3 linked regions of the Struthio camelus genome follow. The protein of the gene in region 1 purifies or fractionates together with the protein of each later gene. This does not show direct contact. Links are inferred from orthologs where the notes say so. Each region holds a gene or a part of one and is shown in the gene's direction. Other genes may lie near its edges. The genes, in order: STK3, RASSF6 and MAP1S.

The links.
Region 2: the proteins of STK3 (region 1) and RASSF6 purify together in Homo sapiens (affinity purification with mass spectrometry; 4 studies listed by BioGRID and IntAct, counting the BioPlex papers as one, with this or other methods). This does not show direct contact. The link is inferred for Struthio camelus from reciprocal best matches to the Homo sapiens genes STK3 and RASSF6.
Region 3: the proteins of STK3 (region 1) and MAP1S purify together in Homo sapiens (affinity purification with mass spectrometry; 3 studies listed by BioGRID and IntAct, with this or other methods). This does not show direct contact. The link is inferred for Struthio camelus from reciprocal best matches to the Homo sapiens genes STK3 and MAP1S.

What each region holds. Positions count from the first base shown.
Region 1 is NC_090943.1:147,191,310-147,195,052, forward strand, and holds the start of STK3 (serine/threonine-protein kinase 3), read left to right. Parts: upstream 1-988; 5' UTR 989-1,133; coding exon 1,134-1,156; intron 1,157-1,196; exon of another isoform or gene 1,197-1,215; intron 1,216-1,377; exon of another isoform or gene 1,378-1,483; intron 1,484-1,640; exon of another isoform or gene 1,641-2,974; intron 2,975-3,743. UniProt on the Homo sapiens protein: Stress-activated, pro-apoptotic kinase which, following caspase-cleavage, enters the nucleus and induces chromatin condensation followed by internucleosomal DNA fragmentation.
Region 2 is NC_090945.1:7,927,287-7,931,029, reverse strand, and holds the start of RASSF6 (ras association domain-containing protein 6), read left to right. Parts: upstream 1-878; 5' UTR 879-938; intron 939-3,743. Other genes in the region: MTHFD2L (bifunctional methylenetetrahydrofolate dehydrogenase/cyclohydrolase 2, mitochondrial), read right to left, coding at 736-878.
Region 3 is NC_090967.1:6,689,592-6,693,334, reverse strand, and holds the start of MAP1S (microtubule-associated protein 1S), read left to right. Parts: upstream 1-1,126; 5' UTR 1,127-1,708; coding exon 1,709-1,799; intron 1,800-1,923; exon of another isoform or gene 1,924-2,046; coding exon of another isoform or gene 2,047-2,083; intron 2,084-2,988; coding exon 2,989-3,090; intron 3,091-3,743. UniProt on the Homo sapiens protein: Microtubule-associated protein that mediates aggregation of mitochondria resulting in cell death and genomic destruction (MAGD). Plays a role in anchoring the microtubule organizing center to the centrosomes. Binds to DNA. Plays a role in apoptosis.

The sequences.
Region 1 (3,743 bases):
CAGGAACTGGCTTGAACGTTTAAGCTTTTCTTGTATTGACTTGACTGGGTCTACTTGGATGCTCTGCAAGTTAGCATCTGAACTCACGATGTAAACAGCATGAGATTTAAAGCTGTAATGGGGAGAGATTGCAGATAACTGTCACACAGTACTCAGCAGCCTAAACCCTCTTGAATAATTACATAATTGCTTCCTACAGTTTCGTAGGATAACTCATATGCTTCGGCATTAAAAACAGTCGACTGCCAGCGTTACTCATCTCCAAGCCGTGCTGTGAGCCGGGAGCCAGCCTCGGAAAGCGGCTCCCGCTCCCTGCGGGACTGACTACGGCCTTCCTGCCCCCTCTGCTCGGGAGCCGCTTGCCCATAGAAGAAAGGATATAACTTCCTGAGGGGGGGGGGGTGGAAGCAGCTTCGCGCCGGCCTGCGGCTGCCCCTCGGCCGCAACCCTGTCCGCTTGCGCAGATGAGGAAGAAAAGCACAGGCTGCCGGCTGCCCGGAGCCGGGCGGTGAGGCGACTGCGCTGGGGTGGGGGGGACACGGCCGTCCCTCGCCCCCCGGCTTTCCGGCCCGGCTCTCGGTTTGGCCTGGTCGGGCCGGGCCGGCCCCTCCTGCCGCCCCTCCGCGGAGGCCGTGGGGAAGACTACGTCTCCCGGCGCGCCCCGCGGGGCACCGCCGCGCGGAGCATGCCGGGAGCGCGGGGCCTCGGGCCGGCATGCGCCGCCGCCTGCATGTCGGTTCCCCCCTCCCGCGGGCGCCATGCCGCCCGCTACTTCCCGTGAGGCGCACCCTCCCTCCCCGGCCCCGTGGTGGGCGGAGTCTCGGTCTCCTGCTGGCTGCCATGCTGGGTGACTTCCTTCCCAGCCAATCAGCATTTGTTATGGTACGGTTTGTAACCAATGAGAGGGGCGAGAGGGCGGGCCCCCACCGGCAGGCGGGTAGGCAGCGGTAGTGGCGTTTGGCTGAGAAGCCGGGAGCGGCCGCGGCCGAGGGAGGGCGCGAGCCCCACTTAAAGGGCCAGCGAGTTTGGCGGAAAGTTGCGCGGAGTTCCGCGGGCCCAGCCCGCCGCTGGCCAGGGCCGTCCGCGAGCCGCGCCGGGCGGCGGCGGGGGCGCCGGGAGCCGGCGGCACCATCATGGAGCAGGCAGCGCCCAAAAGGTAACGACCCTCGCGTGCCGCTCCTGCCCCTCCCGGAAGCGAGCGCGGCGGTACCGTCGGTACGGGGCGGGGGGGAGGCGGCCGGGCGCGGCCTTGGCCCGGCGCGGGGCCCGGCGGGAGCGGAGCCCTGGGCGCTGGGAGGGGGCGTGGTGCGCGGGCAGGGCCGGCGGCGGCGGCGGCGCGGGCCCCGCTCGGCCCCTCGGCGGGCTGGGGCGCGGGGACAATGGGGGCGCGGCGGCTGCGCGGCGTCCCGTCGTTGTAGCGGGCTCTGGGCCGCGGAGGGGCGGCCCGGCTGCCGCCGCGGGCCGCGGCGGTGCTCCGCACCGGGTAACTGCTAGCGCGCGGTAGCGCTCCCGAAATCGTCGTCCTGAGTACGCGTCCGAGCGACCCTCGGGGGATGCGAGCGCTGACTTGAGTTAGAAGAGGAAAACTTTAACGGGGAGTGAGTGAGCCTGGAGCTAGAGAGCGGCCCTTTTCGGCCTTAAAGTCTGCGTGCTATTTCATAGTTCAGGTCTAAGGGAGAAACCAGTAGAAGCAGTTCACGTCTTCCTGCGTTAGAAAGTGCCCTTCTGTCTTGCTGGTAGAGAGGTGTTTGTGGGGGTGGGAGTTGCATACTTGCAGTTGCAAATCAGGGAGTGGGAAGAGGCAAAACCGAGTTTCTTTCCCCCAGTGTATGCGTTGCTGTTTGGAATAACCATTCTTAGTAATCGGTCATGTTTTGGGATATTTAGAATATGAGTCTTTCTCAGGGCAAGAAAAAGTTTTTGCTTCTGAGTTTAAGCAGTGATGTGAACCCCTGAGCTTTTGCTTTAAAAATAGCACTGTGGTCTTCATACACAAAACTATTCTTCTTTAATTACATGGATAAACTTAAACTGGAAGAGTCCTTTCTTAGATGTAGTTAGATAGTATACTGAAAGTAGTTATATAGCATACATGTGTTCTTACCACTTTAGAACTCTAAAGAGTTCTAAATTCTTGCTTCCTGTTAATTTAGTGAAAAATCTAGAAACTGCACGGTATAAATTTATGCTGGAAGATAATAAATCCATTTTTACTTCCTACTTTATTTCTTGTGTCTTAATCTTTGGCTCCTGATTTGCAAGCCTGGTAGTGTGGCAACGACAGAAGCTGCATTGTGGTCAATATGAGAATAAAATTTTGTCTTCTCCAAGTTGAACATGTGAGAGAAGACACCTAGTATATGTTTAATTTGCCTTAAGGACTGATGATGAGCTTTATAATGTTTGGCCCTGTTTTGTTTTCAGTGTATTGAAGCTCCTAGCCCTGAGAGGGACATGCTGACCCCAATACATTGAGGAACATGGGTGGTAAAGAAATGCACGAGATAATTTTTAATTTGGAGATAAACGCAATGTGGAAGGAGCTAGATGAGATTCTATTGATAAATTCCATTTTTGCAAATGAACTCATGCTGGTGTTATTGACAATATTTCTTGCCAATATACTTTCTGCAGTCTTTGTTGACCTAGTTATGAGACTTTGAGAAGTACTGGCTTTAGCAGTCTTTTGCTTTTTGAACTATTTGACCGTTTTGGATATGTTTATCTTAGGCTTCTCAAGCTTTTCTTTGCCATTATGACAGCTAGAAACTGTCTTTGAAAATGAAGACTCATACTGTTTTCTGGTAGATACTGGCTCCTGTTTTTATGCTGAGGAGGACAGTAGATACTGCAGTGTTGCAGAAGAACTGCAAGAAGTAGTAAAATTTGAAGGACAACAGCCCTGATTTTCTTCTTGGTGAATATAACTATTAAACTATCTGTTTCCAGCCAACTAAATTTACCAGTGTTTAAGGTAAGGGAAAAGCAAGCAGAGACAGTATCGCTATTTAAAGCATTGAGGCTGCCTTTCTCTACCTCACTTGTAGTGAGAGAGCATGCTACTGCCAAGAGAGACAGTGCTGCAAAGTGGATTGTATTTTAGGCTTTTCTATATTCTTCTTTCTTTATATTTATTATTTATATAATTAATATTTATTCTATATTTAGGTTTTTCTTTATTCTTCTCCTCTGGACCTCACCTCTGGGCTTCTTTACTAACTAAGTTCTTCTAACTTTAACTACTAACTTCTTTACTGTGAGGGTGACGGAGCACTGGAACAGTATACAGCCTGCACCGTGTATCCCTTTTGTCTATTGTCTTTTGCAGTTTTTGAAGTGTTTTGTGGTGTTGCCAACTATTCTGCTAGGCTACATGCTTGTTCTACAAGTCTGGAAAGAATGCAGATTATTTTGTGAGTGATCTTTTTTTTTTTTTTTTTTTTTGGTCTAAGTACCTGCCATGGGTGCTGTGGTGCAAGAGAAGCACCATGTTTACCTGGCAAAATAGATATGATCATCAGATTTCTTTACTTACTGTGTCTTCTATCTACAGGATCAATTACTGAGAGGGACCTATATATGTCATATATATATATGGTGTATATATAGCATAAGATGCTTATTTAGAGGTAGCAAGAGTTTCAGATGAACGCTTCAAAGCTCCATAAGATCCTGGAATCCCAAAGTTCTTGTACTTGATAGAACACTTTTATTTCTCCTTCCTCTCTGAAGGAACATACCAC
Region 2 (3,743 bases), on another chromosome or scaffold:
CGTCTCAGGCGCTCGCGGGCTTCCAGGGCGACCGTTAAACGGCCGCGGCGCGCGAGAGTGAGGAGGGGTCGCCTCAGGCGCTCGCGGGCTTCCAGGGCGACCGTTAAACGGCCGCGGCGCGTGAGGGTGGTGGTGGGGAGGTCGCCTCAGGCGCTCGCGGGCTTCCAGGGCGACCGTTAAACGGCCGCGGCGCGTGAGGGTGGGGGGGGGGAGGTCGTCTCAGGCGCTCGCGGGCTTCCAGGGCGACCGTTAAACGGCCGCAGCGCGCGAGAGTGAGGAGGGGTCGCCTCAGGCGCTCGCGGGCTTCCAGGGCGACCGTTAAACGGCCGCGGCGCGTGAGGGTGGGGGGGGGGGGGAGGTCGTCTCAGGCGCTCGCGAGCTTCCAGGGCGACCGTTAAACGGCCGCGGCGCGTGCGGGTGGGGGGGGGGAGGTCGTCTCAGGCGCTCGCGGGCTTCCAGGGCGACCGTTAAACGGCCGCAGCGCGCGAGAGTGAGGAGGGGTCGCCTCAGGCGCTCGCGGGCTTCCAGGGCGACCGTTAAACGGCCGCGGCGCGTGAGGGTGGGGGGGGGGGAGGTCGTCTCAGGCGCTCGCGAGCTTCCAGGGCGACCGTTAAACGGCCGCGGGCCGCCCCGCGCGCTCGGCTCGCCACTCCCGAAAGGGTGCTGCCTGCCGTGCCGGGAAGAGGAGGAGGAGGAGGAGGAGAGAGGATGCAAATGCTCCGAGGTGTCGCGTACCTGGCGGCGCTGCGCGGGGAGCTGCTGGTGCCGTAGGCGGCTTCAGGCGCTGGGCGCGAGAGGACTCGCCACCTCCTCAGCGGCAGCAAGCCAGAGCGGAGCACACAGGAGGAGGAAGAGGAGAAGGAGGCTGCTGCCGCCATTTCGGTCTCGCCGAGCGGAAGCGCCGGCGCGCCAGCTGAGCGACGAAGGGAGGAGCCAAGGCAAGCAGCGAGCCCGGGGCCGCGCCGGGGAGGGCAGGGCAGGGGCGGCGCGGCGCGGCGCGGCGAGGAGGTGTCTGGCGGGCAGCGCGATGGCCCCGGCGTTGCCGGGTAGCGGGAGTTGCCGCTGGTCGCCGTGACAGAGGCGGCGAGCCTCAGGGGCATGATGAACACACCTTACAGCAAAATTCAAACTGCGCGGCCAGGGAAGGCGAACCTGTGGGTTTGCGTGCTGGAAGGGTGAGCAGCACGGCTCCCTCCGGGCTACGCTGCAGTGTTTTGTGGAATTGTGGCGGGAACTTCTGCAAGTGATGTCCCTGGGCGGGAAGGCTGGCAAGGCTTTCGGGCCAGTCGTCTCTGCATTGGCATCCTTTGAGCCATGTGAACTTCAGTTCCCGCTAAAACGTGGTATGGGCAAATCCGATGCCTAGTGAGCGTTACAGAGGAAAGCATCAGTGCGCTTCGTGATTTTCAGCCCTATCTCCTTGTTTTCCCAGTGGATGTCTCGTCCCCTTCCTTGCAGCGCACTTATTGCTGCTTTCTGTCTTATTTTACGCTAGATTTTTGACTATGTGCAAAGGAGGAAAGAAAACAAAATGAAGTCTAAAATAACATGTACAAAACACGCCAAAGTAAAAATGGCAACCTCATCTGCAATATTGAAGCTACTAACAATTAGTAAATTCCTTTTTGAAGCTCGTGAATGCTTTCCGAAGATACAGTGGATTATTGAAACTGCAGTTTTTACTATGGCAATTTTTTGAGCAATTCACTGTTCATATAAGGAACATGGTTTAGGTGCGTCCACAGACAGCATGTGTAGTGTTTTTTTAAATCATTTTTCCATCTAGAATCTTACTATCTTCCATTATTGTGGATCCTACATATATTGTCCCCTTTCACTTGCCATCTCTTATTTTATGAACAGTAGCAACACTAAACTTCATGCACTCTCTGGTATTGACTATCTATCTTAATTGTAAAGCCTTATTAAAAAGGATATTTACCCAAGATTTATTGACACAGCTGTATACACTGTCCCTTCCTTTCTTGATTATTTCTTACTAGTATCCTGTTTCAAGAAAACTGAATGTGTGAGGACCTAGGAAGTCCCATAAAAATTGAGGGTCCCGAAACAGATAAATCTTTAAGATAGAACAAAGATGTATCTTTAATTTTTAATCTCTCTTATCCAGCATCTAAAGAACTGGAGGTGATGGATATAAATTGAATATTTAAGCTCATTTATAAAAAATTGTCCATATGTTGAGTATCTTTCTTTTTAGGACTGGTATTGATATTGATGTTGCCGTAAAAACAGAGACATTTAAATGTGGCTAGATTTAACTTTTCGTTAAATCAAAGTTGTTATCTCTAGTACATTAACTAGTGCTTTACTTAGTCTAATAGTTAGCACTCCAAATGAGACTATGCCTATATAGAAACAATAATTTAATAAAAGTTACCTGTCTTTTATTATACTGATCTTAACTCACTATTTTTAAGCTAATGCATATATCTATATCCTATATCTGATCTTCCATTTAGAGCAAAAAGTTAGAATGGTTACAAAGCTAAAGGGGAAAATGAGACATTGTTCTTTATCTATAAGCAGCTTCACGCTATGACTCCAAATCATCAGTATTTCTTTAGCTGTTGTACGCTGCCTGGGATCACAGATCCTCAAGCTAAATGCTGACACTTTAAATGCCAGTATTAAGTGTTCTGTTAATTCTTATTCTCATACTAATCACTTTGGCAGATGAGATGGGAAAAGGAATGAAAGTAACCTTAAAAGACCTTAAAAGTAGGGTAGTTGAAGGAGAAATATATCATGAACAGATGGTAAGACAGATTAAAAGAAAGAAAATTTTGAAGACAATCACGGAAAACGGGATGAGGAGATGAAAAAAATAACAGCAGTCCTAAAAGTTAGAGTTACAGAGAATAAATTTCTGTCAAAATTTTTCTTTTCTTTAGGATGACACTTCTGCAAAATTTCTCCAGTCATTTTTTATACGACGTGTATACTTGGCTGCAAAACTTCGAATTGCTGTTGCTGGAGTTTTCCACAAAATGTCCACCAAATTCTTTTCTGGCAAATCAGTGCATCAGAAAAAGCAGTTGTTTTATAAATGTTTCTGATAAAATTTGATATACCAATTGTGACTTGAGAACTGCTTTATTTCAAAAGTACATCGGTTATGAACTGACAAATACAGCCAAGCATACTCTTCCATTCAGTGATGCTAAGCTCAACAGAAAGGCATAGTTACCCATTATCTTTTAGGCAAACGTTACCTTTACTATTAGTAGGACTCCTGCTATTCATACTGACCACTACAGACAAATAAAAATAGGTTGTTCCTTTTCTATAGTATGAGGAAGAAACCTTTTTTTATGCCAATCTTGTAATTGTCTTCTAGCAACCCTCCATTTTCTATGATTCTTGTTTGTTCAGACAGAGAACAAATTGAGACTATTTTTAACATACGTTATTTTTATTAGTTAAACTCATAAAGAGCTAAGGAAGCAAAGGGAAGCAAGTGGGTTACATGACAGTTATACACTGTTTATATACCGCTCAATAATGTAAGTTTTTTTCAAGCAGAGATAATCAGACCATATTAAGAGTTACCAATGTCTTATCACAGGTAGTGATTTTATCAAAGTTATTTTCTCAATAGAGAATAGAAATCAATACCAGGAATAAAAAAATGAATCCTGTGTTGGTAGGCACTGTTTAGCACCTAATTGTTTGCTGTATTTGGTATGTTCTAAAAAGCCTAGTAGGGATGCACTGAATCT
Region 3 (3,743 bases), on another chromosome or scaffold:
CTGGGGTCCTGCTTGCTGGGGTCCCCAGGATCTGCCCCGTCTCCTGCCCCAGATCCCTAGGATCTTCCCCCCTGGATCCTGGGGTCCTGCTCACTGGGGTCCCCAGGATCTGCCCCGTCTCCTGCCCCAGATCCCTAGGATCTTCCCCCCTGGATCCTGGGGTCCTGCTCACTGGGGTCCCCAGGATCTGCCCCGTCTCCTGCCCCAGATCCCTAGGATCTTCCCCCCTGGATCCTGGGGTCCTGCTCGCTGGGGTCCCCAGGATCTGCCCCATCTCCTGCCCCAGATCCCTAGGATCTGTCCCCCTGGATCCCAGGGTCCTGCCCCCCCCAACCCATGAGATCTCCCCCTACCTCCTGCCCCAGCCCCCCTGGAGCTGGTCCCCCAGGATCTGCCTCGGATCCCTGGGATCTGCCCCCTCTGCTGCCCCAAAGCCTGGGGACCTGCTCCCCCAACCTGCCCCATGGGATGTATCCCCCCCTCCCCGGCCCCTGGGATCTGTCCCCCGGGCTCCCAGGCCGGGGACCCGTGGGAGTTGCCCCCTCCCCTCGTCGACACCCGGGAGCTGCCCTGGGGCAGCCGCAGGGACGGGGATGCTGTGCTGGTTTGTGCTGGTCTGCGCTGGTTTGCAGCCGGAGCGATGCTCGGCTTGCCCAGGGGCTGTGCCCTGGGGAGCCCCTTCCTGCCCCTGCAGCCGTCCTCGCTTCCTGGCTGCAACTGGGAGGCCAGAGCAGCTCCCCTAAACCGTGGGGAAACGTGTCCCTGGGGCAGTGCCGTTCTGGCCCTCGTGGGAGCCCGCACCCAGCGGGGCTGGGAGCTCCTCGGGGCCGCCAGTGTCTCCGGTACCTCGCGAGGACGAGGCCAAACCTCGCCAGCCCTGGGAAGGCCCAAAGCTTGGCAGGAGGCAGCACTGCCTGGGAAACGGTCTGGAAAACGCCCGGCCGCGCCGGGCCGGAGCCCCAACGTTCGCCCAGCACGTTGCGCAAAGCGCGTGACGCTCTGCGTCGACCCCCTAGTGCCGATGCCCTGGTGCCTCTTACGCCATCGCCCTTGGGTTTGTGGGACCGTTAACCGCTGGGCGGGCTGGGGAGGAAGGGAGGGGGGGATGGCTGCAGGCGGGCTCGGTCGGCCAACGCGCCGGCGGTGCCGGTGGCTGAGCTCCCGGTGAATCCCCGCACGAAGAGCCCGGCTCTGTGGCAGAGCCCCACGAGGGTGGCTGGTGTTTTGGGGCCAGGATCCCTGAGTGTTTGCAGCTGGTGCGTTGTCCCGTGGTGGCGAGGGACTTCCAGACCCCTGCCCTGGGAGCAGGGAGAGGTGCCCGCATGAAGGAGGAGCGAACCTGCGCCAGGTATTCGCCGTCTGACGGGAGCTGGAGGTGTACGGAGGCTTGTGCGGCGCTCCGAGTCCTCCAGCGCAGCTAATTCTCATAATTACCGTCTTTAAAGAGGTGCAGGGAAAGGTGCTGCTGTAGCCCCAGGGGCCGGTGTTTCGCTGGCAGAGCCCGTGCGGCCGTGAGTCACCGTGCAAGGTGCACGCCTCGGGGGAGCCAGCCACACACCTGCGCGGGCGAGCGCCGGGGAGCGGGTGCTGCTCTGCCTCCCCGGGGAGAGGGGCTGGTGGCTCCGTGCCGAGGGTCTCCACGTGCCCGTGCTTGCAGGCTCGGGCAGGCCAGCCCCACACCGGGGAGGATGTTACTCAGCTGCACGCAATGGGTCGGCAACGCAGCCGCGTATCTGGGAGTTGCCTGAGGAAGCGCTGGGGGTCCTGCGGGCTGTGCCTAACCGCGCCGGGAGCTGCAGGTTTGCCAGCCTTGTGATCCCTCCAGTTGCCCATGGATTTCGGCGCTGGGCGTGCTCTCGGGGCAGGTGCTGCCCCAGCTCGGAGTTTATTTGGCGTTTGCGGTGTTGCTGCAGATGTTCCTGCTGGGGTCTGGCTTGGCAGCGGGCTACGTCTCCGGGACCCCCCGGGGAGGTGACGTCAGCCTCGTGCCGGGGGTCGCAGTGCAGTTCCTATCTCCCCACCCCACTGCATCCTGCTAGGGTTTGGATGGCAGCGAGGAGTCTGGAAACCTGCTGGGCCTGGGGTCGGTGCTGGGGTCTCCCTGGTGCTGGCTGGGGTCCTGCTGCGGGGTGGCGCGAGCGTGGCCGGTGCTCGCCTGGGCCGGGAGCATGGCCCTGGGGAAGGCTGAGGGCTGCCAGCGTTAATGGGAGGCTGCAGACTGACTCACAGCCTGGAAACCGGTGTGAGAGGCGCCTGGGGACCCGTTCGCTCCAGCTGAACGCAGCTCGGCCAAAGCAGTCCGGGGCCCAGCCCGCGCTGCGAGTCAGCGTGTGGCTGCGAGGAGCAGGAGGCCCCGGGCCTGGGTCTGGCCCTCCTGCAGCCGCGGAGAGGTTGAAGCAGCTCTGCTCCCTCCTGTGAAAAGGCCTCACAGGTCCCCATGCTGGCCAGTGGCATTGGCCTGACGCGGCCCCTGCTCTTGTCCCCCAGGCTCAGGGCAAGGTGGGGGGGAATGAGGGCAGACGTGGGGGGCGGTCCCCAGCATGGCTGGGTGGGGAGTGCGGCGCTGACTGCAGGAGCTGCAGCGGCTGCTCAGCATCCCCGGCTCAGCCGGATTCCCTGGGTCTTACATAAGCCGGTGCCATGCCAGGGATTAGGGAGGTGGTGATGCGAGGCAGGCCTGGCCCCCGAGCGTGCTGCGGCACGGGGAGGGGGCTGCTGCCACGGGGCATGGTGCCTCCCGGCATTTCTGCAGTCAGTGCTAGGGCTGGGTGCTCGCTGTCACTTGTGGCATGCTGAAACTGGGCACTGATGGCACCTGGTGATGGAGACGATGGGTGCTAACGTGTCCTGGGGTGCAGCAGTGGCTCAGGGTGCTGGAGGGCAGCTGGGCATTGGGAGCCCTCTGGCAGGCATGGGTGCCTCGTGCCTCCCACGTGCCCTGGGGCTGACCTTGCACCCAGGGCTGATCCTTCCTGCCCTGTCTTGCAGGTATCCGCTCCTGGGACATCGACCTCACAGCCTGCAACCTGGATGAACAGCTAAAGCTCTTTGTGTCCCGCCACTCAGCCACCTTCTCCAGCATCGTGAAAGGTGAGTCTGGGAGCAGGGGTGAACCCCTGCCTCCCCTGGCTGGGGCTGAGCCCTTGGAGCCTGCTGGAGATGGCACCCCGCAGCCCCAGGTGCAGCTGGCTCGCTAAGGACACTGGCTGGTGCTTTCTCTGTCGCAGAGTGAGCGTGGGCTGGAGCACGCGTCTGCAGGGTCCTCGCCTGACCCGGTGGCTGTGTTTAATTCATGCATCTCCAGAGGGGACGGGGTGCGAGTGAGGCAACTGCAGCACTGCCGCAAGCCGGGGTCTTGCACTCGCTGACTGCTGTTTGCTGAGCTGGGCAAACATTTAGCTGTGTCTATAAAACAGCTTTTGTGCTGAGCTAGTTGTGTGCTCCCTCCCTGACGCTGTCCCAGGCCTCAGGGCAGGTCCTGGCTGAGGGCTGGGGGAGCTGCTCGTGCCTGGCCGGGCTGCCTGTGTCCCTTGCCGCTCCTCCAAGTGGGGCTGGCTCTCACCTATGTGGGGAGCTGGGGTGTCCCCCAGGGCAGGCCAGGGCTGCCCTGGGGATGCAGCAGTGTCTGCGGGGCTGTCTGCTCCCACTCTCGTCTCGTGGGCTGGGGTGGCTCCGGCTGTGTCGCGGAGAAAGGACAGCTTGTTCCAGCGCGGCGTGGGAACTGACCGTGCTGGGACGCCGCG